Linked DNA regions of Caenorhabditis elegans. The protein of the gene in region 2 interacts with the protein of the main gene of each other region in a biochemical or structural test. Each region holds a gene or a part of one and is shown on either strand. Other genes may lie near its edges. The genes, in order: flp-23, dmsr-7, flp-7 and flp-17.

The links.
Region 1: the proteins of dmsr-7 (region 2) and flp-23 interact in a test that uses a peptide from one of them, tested with the Caenorhabditis elegans proteins (one large-scale study listed by BioGRID).
Region 3: the proteins of dmsr-7 (region 2) and flp-7 interact in a test that uses a peptide from one of them, tested with the Caenorhabditis elegans proteins (one large-scale study listed by BioGRID).
Region 4: the proteins of dmsr-7 (region 2) and flp-17 interact in a test that uses a peptide from one of them, tested with the Caenorhabditis elegans proteins (one large-scale study listed by BioGRID).

The regions. Positions count from the first base shown.
Region 1 is NC_003281.10:8,648,312-8,653,185, forward strand, and holds flp-23 (VVGQQDFLRF-amide), read left to right. Parts: upstream 1-2,455; 5' UTR 2,456-2,465; coding exon 2,466-2,591; intron 2,592-3,402; coding exon 3,403-3,603; intron 3,604-3,648; coding exon 3,649-3,774; 3' UTR 3,775-3,883; downstream 3,884-4,874. Other genes in the region: F22B7.3 (uncharacterized protein), read left to right, coding at 752-824, 874-1,043, 1,089-1,145; F22B7.9 (uncharacterized protein), read right to left, coding at 4,478-4,507, 4,558-4,693, 4,844-4,874. UniProt on the Caenorhabditis elegans protein: FMRFamides and FMRFamide-like peptides are neuropeptides.
Region 2 is NC_003283.11:5,403,455-5,409,640, reverse strand, and holds dmsr-7 (G-protein coupled receptors family 1 profile domain-containing protein), read right to left. Parts: upstream 4,289-6,186; 5' UTR 4,272-4,288; coding exon 4,186-4,271; intron 4,119-4,185; coding exon 3,906-4,118; intron 3,051-3,905; coding exon 2,907-3,050; intron 2,711-2,906; coding exon 2,452-2,710; intron 2,404-2,451; coding exon 2,273-2,403; intron 2,225-2,272; coding exon 2,099-2,224; intron 1,888-2,098; coding exon 1,747-1,887; intron 1,683-1,746; coding exon 1,608-1,682; intron 1,558-1,607; coding exon 1,443-1,557; 3' UTR 1,255-1,442; downstream 1-1,254. Other genes in the region: C25A6.1 (Serine/threonine-protein phosphatase), read right to left, coding at 12-85, 132-207, 278-406, 790-1,113.
Region 3 is NC_003284.9:5,883,271-5,887,670, reverse strand, and holds flp-7 (TPMQRSSMVRF-amide 2), read right to left. Parts: upstream 1,807-4,400; 5' UTR 1,805-1,806; coding exon 1,710-1,804; intron 1,594-1,709; coding exon 1,555-1,593; intron 1,503-1,554; coding exon 1,212-1,502; intron 1,165-1,211; coding exon 1,056-1,164; 3' UTR 838-1,055; downstream 1-837. UniProt on the Caenorhabditis elegans protein: FMRFamide-like neuropeptides. Stimulates serotonin-induced fat loss by binding to and activating the npr-22 receptor which leads to induction of the atgl-1 lipase and subsequent fat loss.
Region 4 is NC_003282.8:17,189,116-17,194,198, forward strand, and holds flp-17 (FMRF-Like Peptide), read right to left. Parts: upstream 2,777-5,083; coding exon 2,593-2,776; intron 2,398-2,592; exon of another isoform or gene 2,377-2,397; intron 2,216-2,376; exon of another isoform or gene 2,192-2,215; intron 1,835-2,191; exon of another isoform or gene 1,814-1,834; intron 1,679-1,813; coding exon 1,578-1,678; intron 1,532-1,577; coding exon 1,424-1,531; 3' UTR 1,089-1,423; downstream 1-1,088. Other genes in the region: C52D10.3 (DUF4140 domain-containing protein), read left to right, coding at 1-23, 341-532.

The DNA.
Region 1 (4,874 bases), on a different chromosome or scaffold from region 2:
ACAGTTATTTGAACTTTTCTAATTATTTTTTTTTGTTTTTTAGTTTAAATCAAAATAGTGTCACTATTTTACTTTTTTTTATATGAACAAAACACTGGGAGTCGGGGTTCCAAATTTTATGAATTCATATCACATCACAGCGATTTTTGTATTTTCAAAAAAAAACAAAATTTCAGATCATTCTCCGGAGGTGGACAGTAAATGTTCTCAAATCAATAAAATTTAATTCGATTTGTGATCCCAACCATCAATATGCATAAATATTTCCCAGATCATTCGAAGAAATCATTCGAAAATGCGTCTTCTTATTCTCGCCCTCGCCTCTTTTTCCGTTCTTGTGAGCTCTTTCATCGTAAGTTCTTCTTTTGACTAAAACTGTGTGAAAACCGTGGAAATACGTGTTTATCAGAGTTAGTGACGAAATTTTACCTTTTAATGGTATGATGCCTCGTAAATTTAATCAAACCTCTGTAGAAAACTCGTGTCATGTCAAGCGATTCGAAATCGATTTCTGAATGTGAAACGGAAACCCGTGTCACTTTGATGTCCAAACGCAGGAATAATTCCTTTGAAATTCAGATTCGTACTCATGATCTGCAAAATGCACCAAAAGCAAGAAGATTCCTGAAAAGTTTTGATCAACCTGAAGTAGTTGATCTTACTAAGGATCCCACTACGTTCCAGGAGTTTACCAAATTCTATGTCCAACTTCTAATCGACGTAATCCAAAAAAAAGACACCAGAAGCCTTCATGGCACACAATAATTACCTGGATCTTGAAATGTTGTTCAATGAATGTAATGCTCAACATTACGAAAATTTAGGTTGGTTTCTGTAATAATATTTCAAAGTCTTTTTTAATAAAATTTTCAGGAATGTTCTTCAAATGGCTTCAACAATTTGCTGCTCATCACGAAGATCCAAAGATCACAATTAAAGATTTCAAGGGAGATAAAACATCAGGAGAAATGATTCTTCATGTTAATACCTTCACTTTATTCAAGTACAGACAAGAATTTGACATGAAAGTTAGCGCTTTGAATGTGGGTTATTGAATCAATATTTTGAAGACAAAACTAATTTTTCAGGACAATGGACTTGGGTGGAAGATTTTGTTTGTTGACCGCAGTCTTGGGTGTAATTGATTCATTTTTTGAAACCGAATAAACTAATTTGTTAAATTATTAAATTAGGCAATGGGACAGTCTGGAAGTTGCTAGAATCTACCGATATTTATTAGATATTTATTACTTACTTGCTACTATGTTTCACAAAACAATATCAGAGAAAAAAAATCAAAACTGAGAAAAAACGAAACAACTTACCGAACAATAGTTAGCATTGCTTTGTACAAAAAAAACTGTGAGGCTATTGGAGCACTCCTCTGATTGATCCGGTCGTGAGTATTGATTTTGTTTGTCAATTTGTCTAGGACGCAATTGATTCATCGTTTGAAAAAAAAGCTCGTTCATTCAAAATCATTGATTATTTATTCCATGCAGAAAACTGTTTTATAATTCTCGATAAAAATGTTATATTTTAAACTGTAAATATTTATTTTTCCACATGATATGGTCTAACCGTGGGCGTAATATTTTCGGTTTAGAACGGCTGAATCGAATCTTTTGGACTGCAAAGACGGATTGGATTTTGAAACAAACTACGGTGTTTTTGTGACAGTATTAGTCAACGAATGGTAATTAGGCATATGTTTTTGGAACAACTCATAATTTCTTGTTGGAAAACAAAAGTGGCAAAGTATAATTATTTAAAACTCTGACAAATCTTTTGTCTTTTTTCTCTGGTACTCCTGTTTTTAACAGTGTCCTTATTATGCTCCTATTACTCTTGTGTTGTGCACGTTCTTTTGAAATCTATATTGCAGAGCGGGAATGAATTTAAATAAGAATAATTCAACTTGGTCATTCAAACAATAAAACGCCTACCATTAATATATCCAAAATAAGTTCTTTATTTTTGCAAGGTATTCAAATATATCAATAACTCGAGCCTGAAGAAATCCACCGCTAGAACATAAAATTAACGATAAATATTAAGGCAAAATGTTTGGGCCGAACCGGGAATCGAACCCGGGACCTCTCGCACCCGAAGCGAGAATCATACCTCTAGACCATCCGGCCACTGCCCGGCTGGAGAAAAATGGGGGACTTTGAGCGTTACAACATTCTCGAGGCCCTCTCGAGTCGAGGGGGACCGAGACGGAGAGTGCTAGGAAAACCAAGCATATTTGGTTTTTGAGTATATAGTCGTACGATTGAGAGGAAGCAAAGATAGATTTATAGCTTTTAATTTATTTTTTCTAGGATTTTACGTAACATTAATTTCAATACTGATTTCGAGATTTGTCTTTTGATAGATTTACAACATGGTTATCATCCGGTATACTATTGTATAAAAGATGGTCCTAAATTCTATGAGATTATTTTATATTCTCTCTCAACGAGATGCTTCTTCCAAAAATTTCAATTCTTCTATATATTCTCGTCGTTCTTCAAGAAACAGCGGCTGTCCGCGGTGCTCTTTTTCGCTCCGGAAGAGCTGTTCCGTTTGAGCGTGTCGTTGGACAACAGGTGAATTTTTTATTTCATTTTGAGTGAGCCATTGTAACATTGGATCATAAGAGTCACGTGGAAAGTAGAACAATCTCAACCCACAAGTTAAAGCCTAATATTATTCCAATGCCTCTAGTAAGATTTTTATAAAAATAGAAACCTCGCCATATTAGCCAGACACGAGATTTTTACGATTTCTTCGTCAAATATACGGTACCCAATCTCGACACGTCAATTTTTCAATAAATGCAAAAAGATGTGCGCCTTCAATGAGTACTGTAACTTCAAACTTTTGTTGCTGCCGAATCGACTTAGTTTTGTGAAAATATATGTATTCATGTTTTAAACAACTCAGAATTAACCCAAAAATTTTAACAAAAACTTTTTTTTAAGCTATGAAAAATCAATTTGAATTCGGCAGCAACAAATGTTTTAAATTACAGTATTTTTTAAAAGCTTACGCCATTTTGCATTCATTGAACATTTGTCGTGTCGAGGCCGGGTATATTTTTGACAGAAAAAAAACAAAATTTCAGGTTCGTTGTTTTTTGTTGTCAAAATTATAATGTGTTTTAATATCATATCAAAAAATTAGTCATTTGATTTTCGATAGATCAAGCTTCAGTAGAGGTTTCTAATCATTCGGAAATATACACAAAATCTTGAATTTACACTTCCGATCAGTTGGAGAATATCATTGATCTATCAATAATGTTAGATTTTGTAGTTGATATTTTCACAAAACTCTCAAAACTTTTTAACATAAAAAGTTGGCATGGTGCGTCTTATAATTTTTGAATAACTTATTAAATTTCTAAAATTAATATAGAGATTGGCTCCCACATGTCGAGAAGTTGAATTATTTGTTCCTTGTCTATTCACTTCTAACCGTGATTGTGTTATCGACAAAATATGTGTTCATGAGAAACCACTTCCCCTTTCATCGATTTCTGTGTCAAGCCCGAGTCCAAATACAAAACGGGAAGGTCATCCCGAGTTCATGAGCCAAATTGCGCCGCCTAGAAGAAATGTGAGAGTTGAGCACAGCATTCAACAATTTCTAATCAGCTTTCAGGACTTTTTGCGATTCGGAAGAGCCGGAATGGCTTCTGGAGTTGGTGGAGGATCGGAAGGAGGACCTGATGATGTGAAGAATTCGTATATTCGGGTCAATGGGGAGCCAGAGATTGTTTATCAATAAAATAATATGGATTCGATGCGTCCGATTATTTTTTTTTACTTGATATTACATTCTCGAAACTATTGTAATGTGTGGGGAATCGTTATAAATAAAATATCTTCTTGTTAAACAATTATTCCATGAAATATGAAGTTATAAAGATATAATCCAGATACGAAACTTTGAGATTTTCGTCCGAAAAGTACGGTAGTGGGTCTCGACACGACAAATGTTAGTTGTGCGCCTTTGAAGATTACTATCATTTAATTTTTTGATTAAATCGTTTTATTCTAAATGCTTAGTATTTACACAAATATATTTCAATCGGAATTTTCAAAGTATTTTCCTAGAGGAAACTACTTTGAAAATTCAAAAATTCAGCAACAACGAGAGTTTGTAATTACGGTAATCTTCAAAGGCGCACACCTACTCGTATTTAACAAAAATTTGTCGTGTCAAGACCGGGTTCCGCTCTTTTTTGCAGTAGTACAGAGAATATTCCGAAAGAAGTTTGAAATTAAATTAATTTATTATACCGACAAATCATCAAATGTGATGTATTTCAATGAGTACAATTTTTCGAAAGAAAAACAGATTGAGGATAAAACTTGAGTGATGAGATAACCGTAATATGGAGAATTATATCAGTGTCAAGAAGGCACATTGTTCAGTTTCATATTTACAGATGTTTGGGATTAAATGAAGATTCGGTATGCATCGACGATCAGAACAATGAACGAGTGAGTTGAAAGACCTGGAATGTTTAAAATTAATTTTTAAATTAAAATTCAATTTTCTGCCAACCTTTTGTTGAATGATATCAGTTCTTGGAGAAGACCATCTTTCAATTGCTTCAAATTCACGACGTCTTTTCACCAGTTGTAAGAAGGCGGTCAACGACCCGTCAACGTTTGCGTAGTGTGTGCGGCAGGAGAAGAGACTGCAAAACAGAGATATTTCATGAAGACTCAAATGAACAGCGGAAAATGTGCCTCGATAGCTCAGTTGGGAGAGCGTACGACTGAAGATCGTAAGGTCACCAGTTCGATCCTGGTTCGGGGCAATTCTTTTTCGATTTTTTGAAACTTACCAAATTCCATCATACGAGAGTCCTTGGTGCA
Region 2 (6,186 bases):
CAGAAAGTTACCATAAACCCAGAAAGACCACTAATAGGATCGGCCCACAAAAGATCAGCTACCAGTCTCTCCTTGCCGTCATGGCCTATTAATTTTTCTCAGGTTGTCCAAAGTGAAATCCTTTGACATACTAGGCGATAGTCCTCCGTGCATGCACAAGATCTTATTAGCAATGAGTCCGCAGAGTGGAAGCCAATTGAATACGTCCTGAAAGTACCGTTTTTCCTGTATTAATATTGCACCTTATTGTTCAATTTTGGTAAAAAATCAAATTTACCTGGAAAGCCGTGAACATGCGAACACTTTGATAGCGTTTCTGACACTCTTCATAGAATCCATATACCTTGTTGACAAACTCGCACTCATGGTTTCCACGCAACAAGAATAAATTGCCCGGGAATTTCACCTGGAATCATGACTTGAAAAATGTTTCAAAGAAGTTCACGCCATGGGATTTGGAAGATCGGGAGAGAGAAATAAACGTCCAAAAGATCCATCACTCCAGTTGACGTCATTTTTCAAATTTGACAGCTCATCGGAGCAGCATCAACTTTCTGTCACTTTGATACTTGAGAGATGCGCACTTTTTTGCAGAGCAATATGTGATGGACAATAAATATGTTTCTTTTTGAAAACACATTTATTTATCACATGTGTACGCTTATTTTGGAAAATCTAAGCGGTCTCTGCAAAAATCCCCTGTTTTGGCATTCTTTGTGTCAATGATTAATTCTGGCGCGTCACAATTTTTGATCCTAGCTTCTTTTTGCAAAACTTAAAGCAACAAACCTTATAAGCGAGAAGAAGAACAATGGTTTCAATGCTAAATCTTCCACGGTCCACATAGTCACCAAGGAATAAATAATTCGCAGTCGGCGGCCATCCACCACGATGGAAGAGACGAAGAAGATCCGGGAATTGTCCATGGATGTCACCGCACACCTTTATCGGAGCATTCATTTCAACCATTGATTTCTGTCTTTTAAATACATCCAGTGCCAAATCGAGAAGCTTTAGAACTCGTCCTTCCGTGATCACTTCGGAAAGTAGCTTTTCGTGAGTACTAGCGCTCAGGACATCAATTATTATGTTGTCAACGACGTCGTCTTTCATAATCTAAAACATCAAACCTTTTTAACTTTTGATTCCTGGAAGAGAAAAAGAGAACTCACCTTTCGGAAATCACTTTCAATTGAAAATAATTTTTTTTCCTAGTTTTACTCACATCTACGTGTCTTTTTGTAAACAATTTTTTTTTCACGGCGCCGTGAATAATTTAATAATTTTGTAAACCATATTGATTTATATAAAAACTGAATTAATAAAAAACAAAAAGTACCCGTAACAAGAATAGAATAGAAAATGCGAAAGCTATGAAAATGAGCAAGATATCACAAAAAATCTGCAAAGGGAATTTGTACCGAGATCGAAAAAATTGGAATTTAAAGTTGATGTTCTCTACTGCTGTTCTGATTGTCCGACACGGAAGCTTCATACCGCCAATACTCATTGCGTGCTGGTTCCGGTTCAGTTGCCAGTGGCGTATAGCTTTGTTTTCTGCAAATTAAAGATAATATTTTCCAGACTTCAAAAACAAATTAACTGACCTTCCTAGTCGTAAGCTGTTGTTCAACTGAAGCTGTGAAAGTTCCGTCGGAGAACCACGACGGGTCGTCCACAATCTGAGAGGAAAAATTTTATTTTAGACTACTGTAACAGGAACTGGTTCAATAAGAATGAACTTACCCACAAGCCCACGAAGGAATGATAACTTCCCAAAACGTCTGCCGGTATCTTGAAGACATCACACAATATAAAACAAAATTTACAGAGGAATTGACAAGCGATAGGAGATCAAGAACATCACCAATGTAGAAATAGAGGTATCTGAAATGGAAAATTTAATTTTTCGAAAACTTCTTTAGCGCCCAATTTTAGCTTTAATTGGGCCAACAAAAATTTAGCAACACTTTTGCAAGACTCAGCCTGCACCCAAATTTCCAAAAATTCAAATGACTCAAGAAAAATTGGGTCAAGCTTGGGGCAGTTCGATTTCAGTTTTTCCAGGCCAAATTTCTAGTTAAACATCAAATCTTACCTATGAACGTCTGTAGTAAAAATTGCGCAAAGAATCGAGATGATTCCTTGTGGAAACTCCGTTATTAAAAATACCAATAAAATAACAACAAGCATCAATGTGGTTCTATCTGATGTTCCATTCTTTCTGAAAATTTCCATTTTGTCATAAAAGTTCTTTGAGAGTTGACTATACTTTTTCAATGGTTTTGAATCTGTTGATGCATTTGACGGAACACTCGTTAGTTTCCTCCGATGCTTTTCTGCGTCTCTAATCTTTGATACAAGGCCGAAAGACAAGAAAATTAGCAGAATACATGGAATGATCTGAAAACTGGTAGGACGTTTAATTTGATAACTCGCGTACTCGCTAACCTTGAACAGAATTCCAATCATCCAAATATTCCATTTAAACAACCGGCAATTGTTGATAGTCGCCGCGTGGCTGACCATAAAAGTGTACACCGGTTCAGAGTAGTTCGATGCAAATTTTTGACACGTTTTGCCAGGTCGCCAGTCATTTCCTTCTACACGGGCGATTTCGTGGACCAGCATATTTGGAATACAAAGTACAAATACGACCATATAGATTCCCAGGCACAACTTCCATGCGAACTTTGGTCGTTGCCATTGACTGAAAATTTCCAGATTTTTTAAGGGGGCCAACGTTTCTGGGTATATTGCTTGCAATGTCTTTGTAAAATTTCAATTTTAAATATTTTTGGATACCTACCATTGTTTGAAAAAAATTTTGAAAACTTTCATTACAAAACTTGTTCATCTTAGTGTATAAAAAAATGTTAGTCCCTTAAACTTTGCTCCCAGCATACCTATTCAAAGCGGTAACCCTTAATGTCATCCTCCGAATGAACGCCATCGCCACAGCGAGCCATAAAGAAGTTGTGTGTAGTGTGATGCTCAAAACAACATGCCACAATAGGAATTGTAACCAAGAATGAGTGAACGTTGGAGTGCTGTAATAAAATCTAATAATAAAAATTATTGAGTTTCATTGCAAACGCTTGTTTTCGTGTTTTTCAGTATCATTTTACGAGCGACTTTTCATCTTGAATTCACTTTTGTTATTTATGAATACACGTAGTTTGTAGCTTTGTGACGATTTTCAAAATTTCCTATGATCAATAAAATATGCAGTTGTTTTCATGTTTTGATGCACATAAAACGGATAGGAGGAAATAAATAGTTCCAGGTTCAACTAAAATTCTATGCCTCTTCAATTAAGTGCAGCAAGTGACGAACATGGGCATTCAACTTTTGAAATTCCATTATTACTTTGAGGATGTTTTTTTGTGTGTGTGTGTTGATACTTGAGTGGAAAAATAGAAGAATATAAATATCCTTCAAAATTTTCAATAGAAAGAGCACACTTAGTTTGAATTCTTGTTATTAATGGTTTGAGGTAGAGTTTGGAAAATAAGGATTTTGTTTCAAAGTATTCGAAATATTCAAATATATGCTGCATAATCAAAAAAAAAGGAAACTTAAAAAATCGAGAAAGATTTAAAAATGTCCAATTTTTGAAATTGCGAATTTTCATATTTGAATTTTTCCAAAATGAGAAGCCATGACTATTTTTAAACCAATCAGCGCCTTCGAACTCTACATCCTTTTTATGAAGTGACCGACATTTTCCGGGTTTTGCAATTCACCATAAAATTGGAATAGGAAAAACCAGAAAATAAATATTTTAAAGCTTGTGTTATTTTTCCAAAAATTCCATATTTGTTGATGTTCCTACTCAAAAGCCGCCACGCCGCTCCATTTCCCAAAACAAAAACATTTCCACCCAATAAACACACAAGAATTACCAGGAATTATTTCGTCGTAAGACAAAATGTATAATATAAATGAGATAGGATGCCATTGTTCCGATATCACAGACAGCCACTGCTGTCAGTATGCAGTTGACGGCCGAATTGCGCATGTTGGGTCTCGATAAAACTGCCACATGCACAAAATTGGTGAAGATACCAAAAACGCAGATGAGCACACATACATATCCGTGAATTGGCTGGTACCATCTGACAATTAATCATTGGTTCATTTTTCTTTTTTTGAAAGAAGTGCACAAAAAATAGTTTAACAAACCTTTGAAAATGTGCAAGTTTCCGAAGAAATGCCTGCGTACTGTTACTGTTCGGATCAAACAACTGAGCATCGTGCGGACATTCCATATCTAGCACATCCTTCAAAATGTTGAAAATTTAAGGGGTTTTTAAAGACCATTGAAACAAAGAAACATAAGGAGAAAATCAGAAGAAGCCAAGAGCAACAGGGTGGAATGCGTTCTGTGTTTTTTGAACTTTTAGATGACAGTCGGTTGTTGTGGAAGAAGCTGATCGAGTTTTCGAACAAAATATATAATTTCGTTTTTCAAAAAATTTACAAAATTATAGGTCACTGGCCGGAAGTTATTTTTGTTCCGTGAGTTGTTATTTCTATAGCAGGAAAATACTTTGAAAAATTGTAAAAATCTTTGATTGAAGATTTTTATTTTTTAAAAACTATTTCCTAGAGTAAAAAAAACCAAAAAACCTATTTTTTTGCCGGCCAGGGCGGTAGATTTGTTTGTTTTCGAAAACAAAGTGAGCGAAAAATTGCAAAAAACGCGTAAATTCTTTTGTAAATTTTGCATGTTTAAAAAAAAATGACACTCGAAACCGTAAAAGAGAGCCATATTTATCAAAATATTTATTATTTGGGTTTAAAACATTTTAAAATAATTTTTTTCGATTTCAGCAGATCTTGAAAATGCACAAAATAATTGGTAGGCATGTAGGCATGCCTGCCAACTTATCTTGGCAAGACTAGTCTTTTAAAACATAGTAAGCATATTTTTCAGCAGTTTTATAATTGCGATGATTATAATTGTGAAGCACACTCGTTCGTGAATGTTTAATCTTTCGCTCAACTTTCTGTTTCTTGTGAACATGTAACCTAGATCTAGGGCTTCTAGGTAGGCGCCAAACGACTGCCTACCTGCCGGACTTCAAAGTTAGGTCCACCTGCTTTTCATCAAATTAATCGAAATTCAAATTTATTGCTTTCAAATTTTATGCGCCTGCCTACCATGTTAGTCCTACCTAGAACAGAAACTTATTAGTTAAGTATAAAAGTTTTAAACTTTGGTATTTCATGCCACCATAAAACATATAAAATCAGGGGGCCATCTTGTGAAAATGTTTGTTGTGTGGTGCTGCTTCACACACACCGAAACATTTGAAACAGAATGGATTTCGAGACAGAAATGTGGCATTCAAAGTTAATGAATTCATCTTCCAGAGAAGATGAATCGGAAAATCGAATATTCTCACGACTTATGAATAAGGAAAACGTGGAAAAAAAAAGTTTAGGGGCGCAGGCGCAGTCAAAAGGGGAAGAAAGAAAGCTCAAGTCCCTTGGGAATTGAAGTGATGTGCCTATTGACTATTGACCACTGAACATTTCATCTTTGTTTCAAGAAATCAAAAGAGTGACCTAGCTAATTCTCTAACACCTTAAAATGCAGAGAGCCTAATTGGGGGAGAAATGAGAAAAATGCAGGAAAAAAGCTGAAAAGGGGCAAAAACTGGAGGAAGGAGAGGCGCTACCAATGGTGGATTGCGCACGTAACGTGTTCATTGTCTTTTTTACTCGAAACAAAATGGCGAAGCTTCTCCTCAAATTCAATTTGCAGTTCAAGCAGCTTCTAGTGCTTGAAAAGCAGTGACGAGACTGCATTATTTTCAAAGTGACGAGCAAAAAGGAGGAAAAAAAAAGAAGGACTAGAAGGAGGGGTAGGAATAGTGAGAGGAGAGAATTGGGATGCACAAATCACAACAAAACTTTGGGCAATGAAGAGGAGCCTTTCTTGGTTCCTTCTGGCTCCTCCACAAGTTTCCTAATGCTCAATTCTAGACTAATCTTTCAGATGGCTGTGCAGACTCCCGGATAGAATGATTCAGGCGGCTGCTTGGAATGCCTCCGTTTTTTTTCAGTTTGAGCACATTATTTAGTTACAGTGGCTCTGACTTTTGCTATCATACAAAGATACAAACAGGCCTAGAACGAAACAAAAAACAATTGGGGTGAAGAAAAAGAAAGATTATT
Region 3 (4,400 bases), on a different chromosome or scaffold from region 2:
AAAAAAAATTTATGTGAAAAATTGTATGGCTAAAACAAGGAGAATTGTTCAAAATTTCTCAAAATTTCCAATATCTGATTATTTGCCAAAATTTTTTTTTTAATCTGAGGCATCCTCTATCCCAATATAACTTTAGATAATACTCCTTCTAGTTTTGTTCCGTTTGAGGTTTCCGATCATTTTGATATTATTACAACTTCCCGTCTGTTCTGACTATTACTAATAAAAAGTTATCTGACATAATATAAACAACTGCAAAAAAAATTAACCCATTCCAGAAAATTATATCGAAAAATTTACCATTGTCGGTTTGAAATTTATTAGATTTAGGCTTTCTCAATAAACCTCTATTATCCAAATACGTATATTTCTGATTTTCAGGAAAACGAGCGGGTGACCATGACCAAAAAGCTCTGTATGATTTATTGCCGTAGGGATTGAGAAGCCTTTACAATGTTAATAATCATTTTGGATTATTTTCTGAAAAGTTCAACTTAACTCATACGACGCTCTCCTAGGAGAGTCGATGCACTTTGAAATAAAGTTAACAACTTTTAACGTTATAGGGAAAGGCGCGAGATCAGGCTTTTCTGTAGCTGGGCAGGTTTGATCATATTTGAATACTGCAGCGAATGAGTGGACATGAAACCAGGCTCGGGACACAATGCTTTATGGCGCGAAACTAGTCCAAAAAGCAAAAAATGTACATTGTTTTTAATCAACTTACCAGACTCACCGTATTAGCCATTCTGAACAATTTTCCTGTTTTTTATAGTTTTATTTTTTTGAAATCCTCTCATCCTTTGCATTGCATGAATTTAAGATGAAGGACTGGAAAACAGGCGTCGGTTCTTTATTTTGCAAATCGCAAATTAATTTTGATACACTGGAGTATTTGGGTAGCGACCAATCTGTACTATTAGTCAAGTGGCACAAAAATAATTGTCAAAAAAAAATACATAAATGAAAAAGGTAAGAATAGGCCGTAGAACGAGATTAAACTACAATGTGAGACCGTTTTGTTCTTGGTAATCAAGGTGTTTGCATGTACTTGTTTATTCGCTGTCCTCGATGTTCTTCTCGTTTGATTGCATCTCAAATTCCATCGAACGTTTGCCAAAACGGACCATCGATGATCTCTGCATTGGTGTCCGTTTTCCGAGTCTGAACTTCAGCTTTATTCACAAAATACTTTTCACGTCAATACGTACCGAACCATAGAAGCGCGATCAATTGATGATCTACCAAATCGGACCATTTTCGATCGGTCCATAGGTGATCTTCCAAAGCGAACCATAGCCGAACGCTCCATCGGTGAACGTTTTCCAAAACGCACCATTGAAGATCGTTGCATTGGCGACCGTTTTCCAAAGCGAACCATTGAGGACCTTTGCATTGGCGAACGCTTTCCGAATCTAACCATGGATGAGCGTTGCATTGGTGACCGTCCGAACCGAACCATTGATGAGCGTTGCATTGGAGTACGCTTTTGCTCGTCAATTCTAAAAGTGCATAGTGTGAGAATAAAGTTTTTTCTGAATAATAACAACTCACAAGTCCTCCTCTGAGAGTTGCTCTCCTGACTTCTCGAGTCTGAAAAATATAAAAAATAGAAAAAATAGGAGTTCATTCAGAATAATAAAATAAATTTATTCACTCAACAAATCACGACAACAAGAACAACATAATATCAATAAATCTCAACTCACTCAGTTGGTTCTTGAACTTGTTGTTCGGCTGATTCCTCGGCCAATACCAAAACTAGGAGACCAAGAGCAAGAAGAAGGAAGCGGGATCCAAGCATTTCTAAAAGTCTTTGAATGAAAACGAGATGGTATTTTTCGATGACGTCATGTTTCCAAACATGACGCGGAGTGGTTTAAAAATTGAAATTTCAATCGAGAAAAAATGAGGAGAAAAGTTGAAAAGTCAAAAAAAAGAACCCTTCTTTGAGTGTTGGCAGAGGGAAATTCAATTTGTAACTTGAACTGCAAATTGGATTCAAGATTGAGTGGATTGCACAAGACCAAGCAACAGTAATCAAAAAATTTGTATTTGACAATTTACTGAAAAGAAAACTGATGACGGGGCAAAATAATCACAATCAGAAACGCAATAGAAGCTGCTATCCATACTTATATACGCTTTCATATTCCTGAGCTCGAGAAAGGCTCATGCTCCACCCCCTTCTTCTCATGCCTTCTAACCTTGTCTGATGCTATGACTCCGCCTTCGTCCAAACAAAAACTGGAAATCGGAACAAGGAGAAAAAATAACACCAAAAAAAAAAAAAATCAAAATTAGGTTGGAATCCATTGAGATGGTTGGCTATTTTTGCTAAAGACGCATTAGCCCGATTAAAAAAATCCAAGTTCACAGAGCAATCAAAGTGAATTATACGGATCTTGGGACACTTCATTATTCACGCGGTCCATCTCTGTTTGATTGTGTCGGGTATTTTAGGATACTAGCAAGCACTCTCCAGAAGAGCAAAGAGAAAGATGTTTGAAACCTTTTGAGCGGTCAGTTGAGAATTTAGGAGGAAGTGTTAGAAGAAGGCAAAAATAAAAATTAATTCAACAAATAAGTTTCCAAAAATTTTGTATGTATTACTTAGACACAAAGTTATCCGTACTGATGTACGTTGAAATTTCAATTTATAAATTTAGGTATTATTAAAACTATTATCAGGCTCTTCAACCTATAAAAAAGTCATTTTGGAGCCTGAAAAAAAATTATAAAATATATTATGTTTAATTGAAATGAATAAATGAATGAAAGTTCAATTTATTTTTAAACGGGGGTTGTGATGCACAAACACATATTTATCTAGTCCTTTTTATGTAAAATATTATAAGAGTCGCATAACAAAAATAATTTTAAGTACATTACAATACAGCTTCAAGATTAAGAAAATCAAAAAATGACGTTTTTTTTCAATTGTGGATACTGAAGTTTTTTAAGTTCAATTTTGTTCAAAAACTAGTTTAAAATAAAAAAAAAGAAATTTCGGTCAGTTTTTCTTTTGATCATTGATTGTGAAATGTAGAGTTTAAAATAGTTTCAGATAAAAAACTTAAGTACAATAACAGGTCTTGACACGAGTTTTCAATAAATAATGTAAAACATACTTTTTGCTCTTTTTCAAAGTATGTTAAAAATTGTTGAAACCAAGTACCATATCTATAAAACATGTGGTTTTGTGAATCTGGGTGATATGTCATATTACGTATGTACACTTATTGTAGATGCGTTTGAGTATTTTTGCAAAACCCTTTCAAAAACATTCCATAAGTATTTTATAGAATCACCTGTGCATTTAATTTCAAACGTTTCCTCAATTATCGTAACTCGAGCAAAAGATGTGAGAGATGCCAGAAGAGAAGCTGCTATTTCATAGAACTCTAAGTTTTTGAACTACTTTAAGTAACTTTTCCAGACACAACCAAGCTATTAACTTTGTTCACAATAAATGAAAACACGTGGGCCAACAATTCCGAAAAAATTGAAAATTTATACGGCGAGTTGTAAGTCTTTGTAAAATGACGAAGAAAACTTACAACTAATGTTACCGATATAATCTTAAGTCTACGTCAAAACGGAAATTAAGTCGCTGCTGCAATGAAATTAAGAATTCTAGAAAAATTGAAGGCGGAAAAGTTGAAAAGTTGAAAGTTTTTGTCAGTTTCCACACGTAATTTCTAGTTTATGAAACTACAATTGTTAAATCATTTTGACACTTTGATCACATGGTTATATAGGCTCCAATTTTGCTTTTTGTTTCGCTCCAAGAAACTTTCAGCTCTCGCATCACTATAAATGATCATGAATTTATTCAAGCAACACTAATAAATAAACATAGAAAATATGCCTTATCAGAATTCGCTGTTCTTTGACCGTATTCAAGGTTTTTTTTTCGCTAGAAACATGTATGATTAAATTTGTTTAACATTAATCGACGTAGTAGTTTTTAATAAGGGTAAAAAATTTATTCCGATTTCTTAGAAAATTACTTTGTTTTATTTTTCGTGGCAACATGTACTCCCAAAATAAATTGATTTATAGCTAACAGCGAGGGTTTTTTGGAGAACTCCTGGAAAAGCGGGTTAAAGAAAAATGAGCAACAAAAATCAGAAAAAAAATAAAAAAGAAAAGAATGAAGATGAACACTTGACAGTTGAAAAATTGTTTTGAGATGTTGGAGATTTGATTTTCATATTTTCATAGTTCGCCATCAAAATGTCAAGCTTTTAGATTTTATTTTTAGTTTTTATAGTGAGAAATCAAAATATTTTTCTGTGCGTAAAGCTTTCTAAATTCTAGAAAAACGTTTGGCACTTGAAATATCTTTCCGAAGTGCACTTCTTAGAGTACTGCTGATCAACATGTAGTAGTTGTCA
Region 4 (5,083 bases), on a different chromosome or scaffold from region 2:
AAAGCCATGATGACAAGATTAAGGTGAGAATTTAAATTTATTTTCATTAGAGCGCAGAAAGTAGATAAAATTTTACAAAATCTGAAAGTTTTAAAATTGAGAAGAAACTACCCCTGCCGCCCCCGCCAAATCCCAACTACCACACCTCATTTCGGTTTTGGAAAATGTTTTGAGCTTCTGTTTCAAAAGAATGAAACTAGGTAACATTTTTCTTGCAATTAGTTAGAAATGTAGTTAGTACAAAAAAGCGGGTTATTGGCGCAGTGGTAGTGTGCTAGGTTGGTGAGCAAGTGACCGAGAGTTCACCCCTTGACCTTGCAGACAATTTTCTCAGTTCCAGGTTTCTATCGTGTCTCCGGAGATCAAAAGCTCGTCTTCCTCCAAGAACTCATCTCCACCAGATGCTCGTCTTAACAAAGACCATAATCTTGAATGGTGTGTCATTTTGGCACCCGGCCAACATCGTCTTCTCCCAGTTCGCTACACAATTGAGCATCCGGCTTCGGAATCGCTTTCCTATAAGTTTAATTAATCATTTTCCCTGATTTATTTATTTTCTGTTTCTGTGTATTGGTCGTATTTTTTGAGTACTAAAAATATTCAATTTGTATCAAATTACCCACATTTCTTCTCTGGTTTTAGTTCTTTCAATTGTTCTGTCTCAAAGATGATAATAAATGTTTTTTTTTGTTCTCGGAAAAATTGAGACTATTAAAGTATTCGTATTTATTTTCTAAGAAAACTACAAAGAAACTATAAAGAAAAGTATATGAAATTATAAAAACAAAGTGAAACAGTAAGTTTTTACTTCTGCATGAAGTTTTCAATGTCAATTGGATCTCCACTATCTTCCTGAATGCCTGAAAACTACATAGTAACCGAAATTTTCAAGGATCACGCGATTTTAAATTTGGACAGGGTCCGTCTCCTAAGGGGTGCGGCCACTTATGCTGAAACCCGGCCGATGAAGGATGCTGCAAACGTTCAACTACACTCTGAAACACACAATTTCACAATCAATTTTCAGCTGCTATTTTTATAAGAATTCATCAAAAAGTTGAAACAACATTTTCCAGCAGTCACCAGTCTAACAAAATAGTCAGTTTTATTCAAATCTCAATTTCAAGCTGATCAAGAAACAGGATTGTGGAGGTTTGGGGTGTCATCGCCACACCGATTGACAAACACATTCAGTCAATTAATAAAAGTTGTCCACACCAAAAAGAAAAAAATTATTAGCCCACGGAGGAAGATTTCTCGGAAAAAAAACTAGAAGGAAAATTCACGAACTGGGAATTTTAACAGGGGGTTGTGAATTTTTGTAAATTTAGAGAAATATTGGTACCCAAGAGAGTAGGAGTTGCTCAAAATGTTGGTTGAAAAAGGAATAAATGGTGGGAATTTGAAAATCAAAAAAAAAAAATTATTTTCCAAAGCGAATGTACTGGCTCTTTCTTTTTTCAGTAATCTGTGGCTCCATTCCGAATGATCTTCCAAATCTGACAAACGCTGATTTACGCTTTTCCATTTCCTGAAAAAAAAAGTTGGAGGCTTACAAAATGGGATTTTTAACATACCATAGCCTCTTCCTCTGGAGCAGATCTCTTTCCGAATCTGACAAAGGCGCTCTTTCTCTTTTGTACCTCTTGAGCTCCGGCTTGCTGTTGATTGTTGATTCCTGAAAGTTAAAAAGTTTTTTTATAAAAGATTCTTTAGTAGAATAGCTCCGGGAATGATGCTGTAAAAAATTTCAAAAAAAAAGTTCACTGTTTCAAATGTTTTGTAACATTTTTCATTTTTAGGGGTCTCACAGTCAATTCTTTTCAATTACCAAATTTATATGCGAAAAAAAGTAGAATTTCAAAATAGAAAATGAAAAAAGGTTCAGAAAAATTAGGTTGAAATTTGACTTTTTCATAGCTTTTTTTCATCGTTTTCTTATTTTATTTGGATGACAGACCCGACCTACATAAATGCTCTAAAAATGCTCTGAGCTCTAAAAAAATGCTCTAAACCTAAAAAAATCTGCGGTGGGATAATATTAATAATTTTAAACAACGAGACATTTTTTTGCTGCTACGAAAAATTTTCAAATGTGACCGAAGTAGTCACGAACTTAAAAAAAAATTCGTTTTATTATTATCATGGTTGTTTTCACGGACTAAAAATTGAAATATTTCTATATTCTCTGAAATGCGACGTTACAGAGTCATCATTAGAATGAGGAAACATTACCATCTTTATGAAAGGCTTGAAACGGTAAAATAAAATTAAGATTCTTCAAGAGAACGTGATAAATTAAAATTAAACGTTAAAATTAATGTTTTTTTCCGTTTTACGAAAACGAGAAATAACGACTTGAGAGTTTGAATTCATTAGTAACGTTTTTCTATAAAACTACCAATAAAAAAGAAAAAAAGTCGAATTTCTATCACTCATGATTTACAATTTTAATATTGTGCTCTAATCCTAAAAAATCTATACTTTTCACAACTATTTTTTTCAAGAAATTTCACATTTTCCATTAAATCTCTCAAACTAGAGGAACTATCGAACAACGTCCAACTAAAAAAAATATTCCAGCCGACTCACCATCTTGCAAAAGATACTGTAACTCGACCAAACTGCCTGTCAGCTCTTCTTTCAGTCGGCACATGTGGAGTGTTGGGAACTTCTCGCAAAACTTTTCCGACTGAATTTCCTCCATTGAAGCGGCCTGGGAGGATCCCGAAATTGTGAGCAACAAACAAGTGGTGAGCACTAGTTTGGAGAGCATCTGGAAAAATAAAGTTTTGCGGAAAATATTTCCACACAGAATTTTTTTAAAGGAAAAAAAATGGAAACACAAAAAAATCATTGAGAAAAAGTAACAGAAAATGTGTGAAAAATGAATGAAAAATCTGAATTTCCCGTGTCAATTTATAGCTATTAGCCCCTTCCTAATGCATTTCCGGCTCCGAATTTCCGATTGAAATCACTGAAAAAACCGAAAAATCTTTCAAAAATTCAGAAAATCCGAATCATTTCCTAATCAATTTGACAAGAAAGCACGGGAAACTTAGAGGCTTCTGAGAAATCGGATACGGTATCCGGAGCTGAGCACGCCTCGTTGAAAACGTGCCGAGAACACGGACGTAAAGGTGGAATGCTCAAGCTCCGCCCAGATTTGGTCTGATGATGTTTTTGGTGAATCAACTTGTCACGAATGTGCTTGCCTACCACATGCCTACTGCCGAAAAATAATTTCTATATTTTTTGATTTAAATCTTTAAAAAGGTGTTGGTAGCTACACTGAGCAAATATCAAAACTCCGAGTTACCGTCGAAATGAAGAAAGGCAATAGTTAGGCATAGAGGCACCAGGTAGGCAGGTAGGTAGATATATGAGTAGCTATCAGGCAGGCGGGAGTGTTAGTAGTGGAATGTCATAAAGCAGGTAAGCAACATAGCGGTAGGCATTATGAAAAATCCCGAAAAATAATTTATTTTGCAAATACCCCCAAGGAAGCAATAAATAATAATTTTTGTAAATACTTTAAAAAAGTTCAAGCCCGCTCCATTTTTCGCAAACTCCGTGATATTTCGGAAAATTATTTCTCAAAATTTGAATGAATGATGGATTAGAAGACGGTTTTCGAACATATATTCAAAGCTAACGTACTGTAATTATTTGGAATATTTTGTGAAGTACGTATTAAAAATTCCGATTAACAAAAAACATTTAATAACTATTCGAAAAATAATAACATTGTCTTTTTCAATAAAAAACGCATTTTGGAAAAAATTAAGCAGTTTTTAGAACCTGATGGATACTTAATTTATATGCTTTCAGTATATAACTTTTTTTTCACAATTTTAAGGCATATTTCGTTTTCCAGTTTGCATAATGAACGAGAGATTATTTGACACTTTTGAAACAAAAAAAAACAAATAAAATTTTTTGTTGAAACCGAATATTTTAAAAATGTTCTGTTACTTGAAACTTATTCCAAATTTTTCGAAACTGTAAACTGTTTTGATACTTTTTTTTGGCCAAGACAGTTCTCTTCTAGAATTTCTAATATAAAACGCTTGGAATATTAACGTTTTCATATTTCCAATGAAACGCTGCCTATTTGTTTTATTTAAAAATTAAAATAAAAACTTTTAAAATCAATCAGAGAAAAAACTACTAAACATACAAGCTGTTTTTTTAATGCTCTTCAATAAATTTAAAAGTAAATTTTCATGAAAAAATGTAAGCTCCGCCCCTTTTTCGGAAATCTCCGAAAAATTTCGGAAAATGCAGAATTGAATGAATGAATGATGGATTAAGAGACATTTTGCCGGTTTTATTTTTGAATTTTTTTTCCTGTTTCAACGAATGCTACAAATATGGCTGGTTATACTGAAACAATAATAATTTGCCAATATAAAAATCACTCGTTGTAACAAGTGTTTCCTAATGTAAGTAAAACATATTTTAAAATAAACCACCTGAAACAGTGATTTTATTTATTTAAACGATTTGTTCCGTTTTATTTGAAATTGATGGATCTATAACATTGAATTCTGTATAAGTTACAAACCTAAATAGATAATGGGAAACAGTAAAATTTTCAAAAGTATGTTCAAATTTTTAGAACTTTGTAAGAATCATTTTTCTACATCCTTGCAGGTTCCGAAAAAAAATCGAGAAATTCAATGAATGATGGTTAAGAAAAAAACCTTCTAAAAATGAAAATTGATTATATGAAACAAAAATATTTTCGTGCACCTTCTCCGAAACGGAAAATTATTGAGAGTTGAAATTCTGTTTGAAAACATTTCGATATTTTATAAAAATGAATCACTTTTCAAAAAAATTTTTTCCTCCGTGTCACCAGATACACAGAGACTACTTTAAGTGTATGATGCAATCTTTGCTGAGAACGATGCGATTTTGCTTACAGTAAATATTTTACTGTTTTACTTTGAGTAATGATTTGTCCAAAACACATTCAAATGAACTTCTAGCAATATTTTAATTTTATAAGCTGTTTATTTAATGTTCCTAGAAATGTGCCTTTTGTGAAAATATCTATTACTTAAAAATTGTTTTTTTT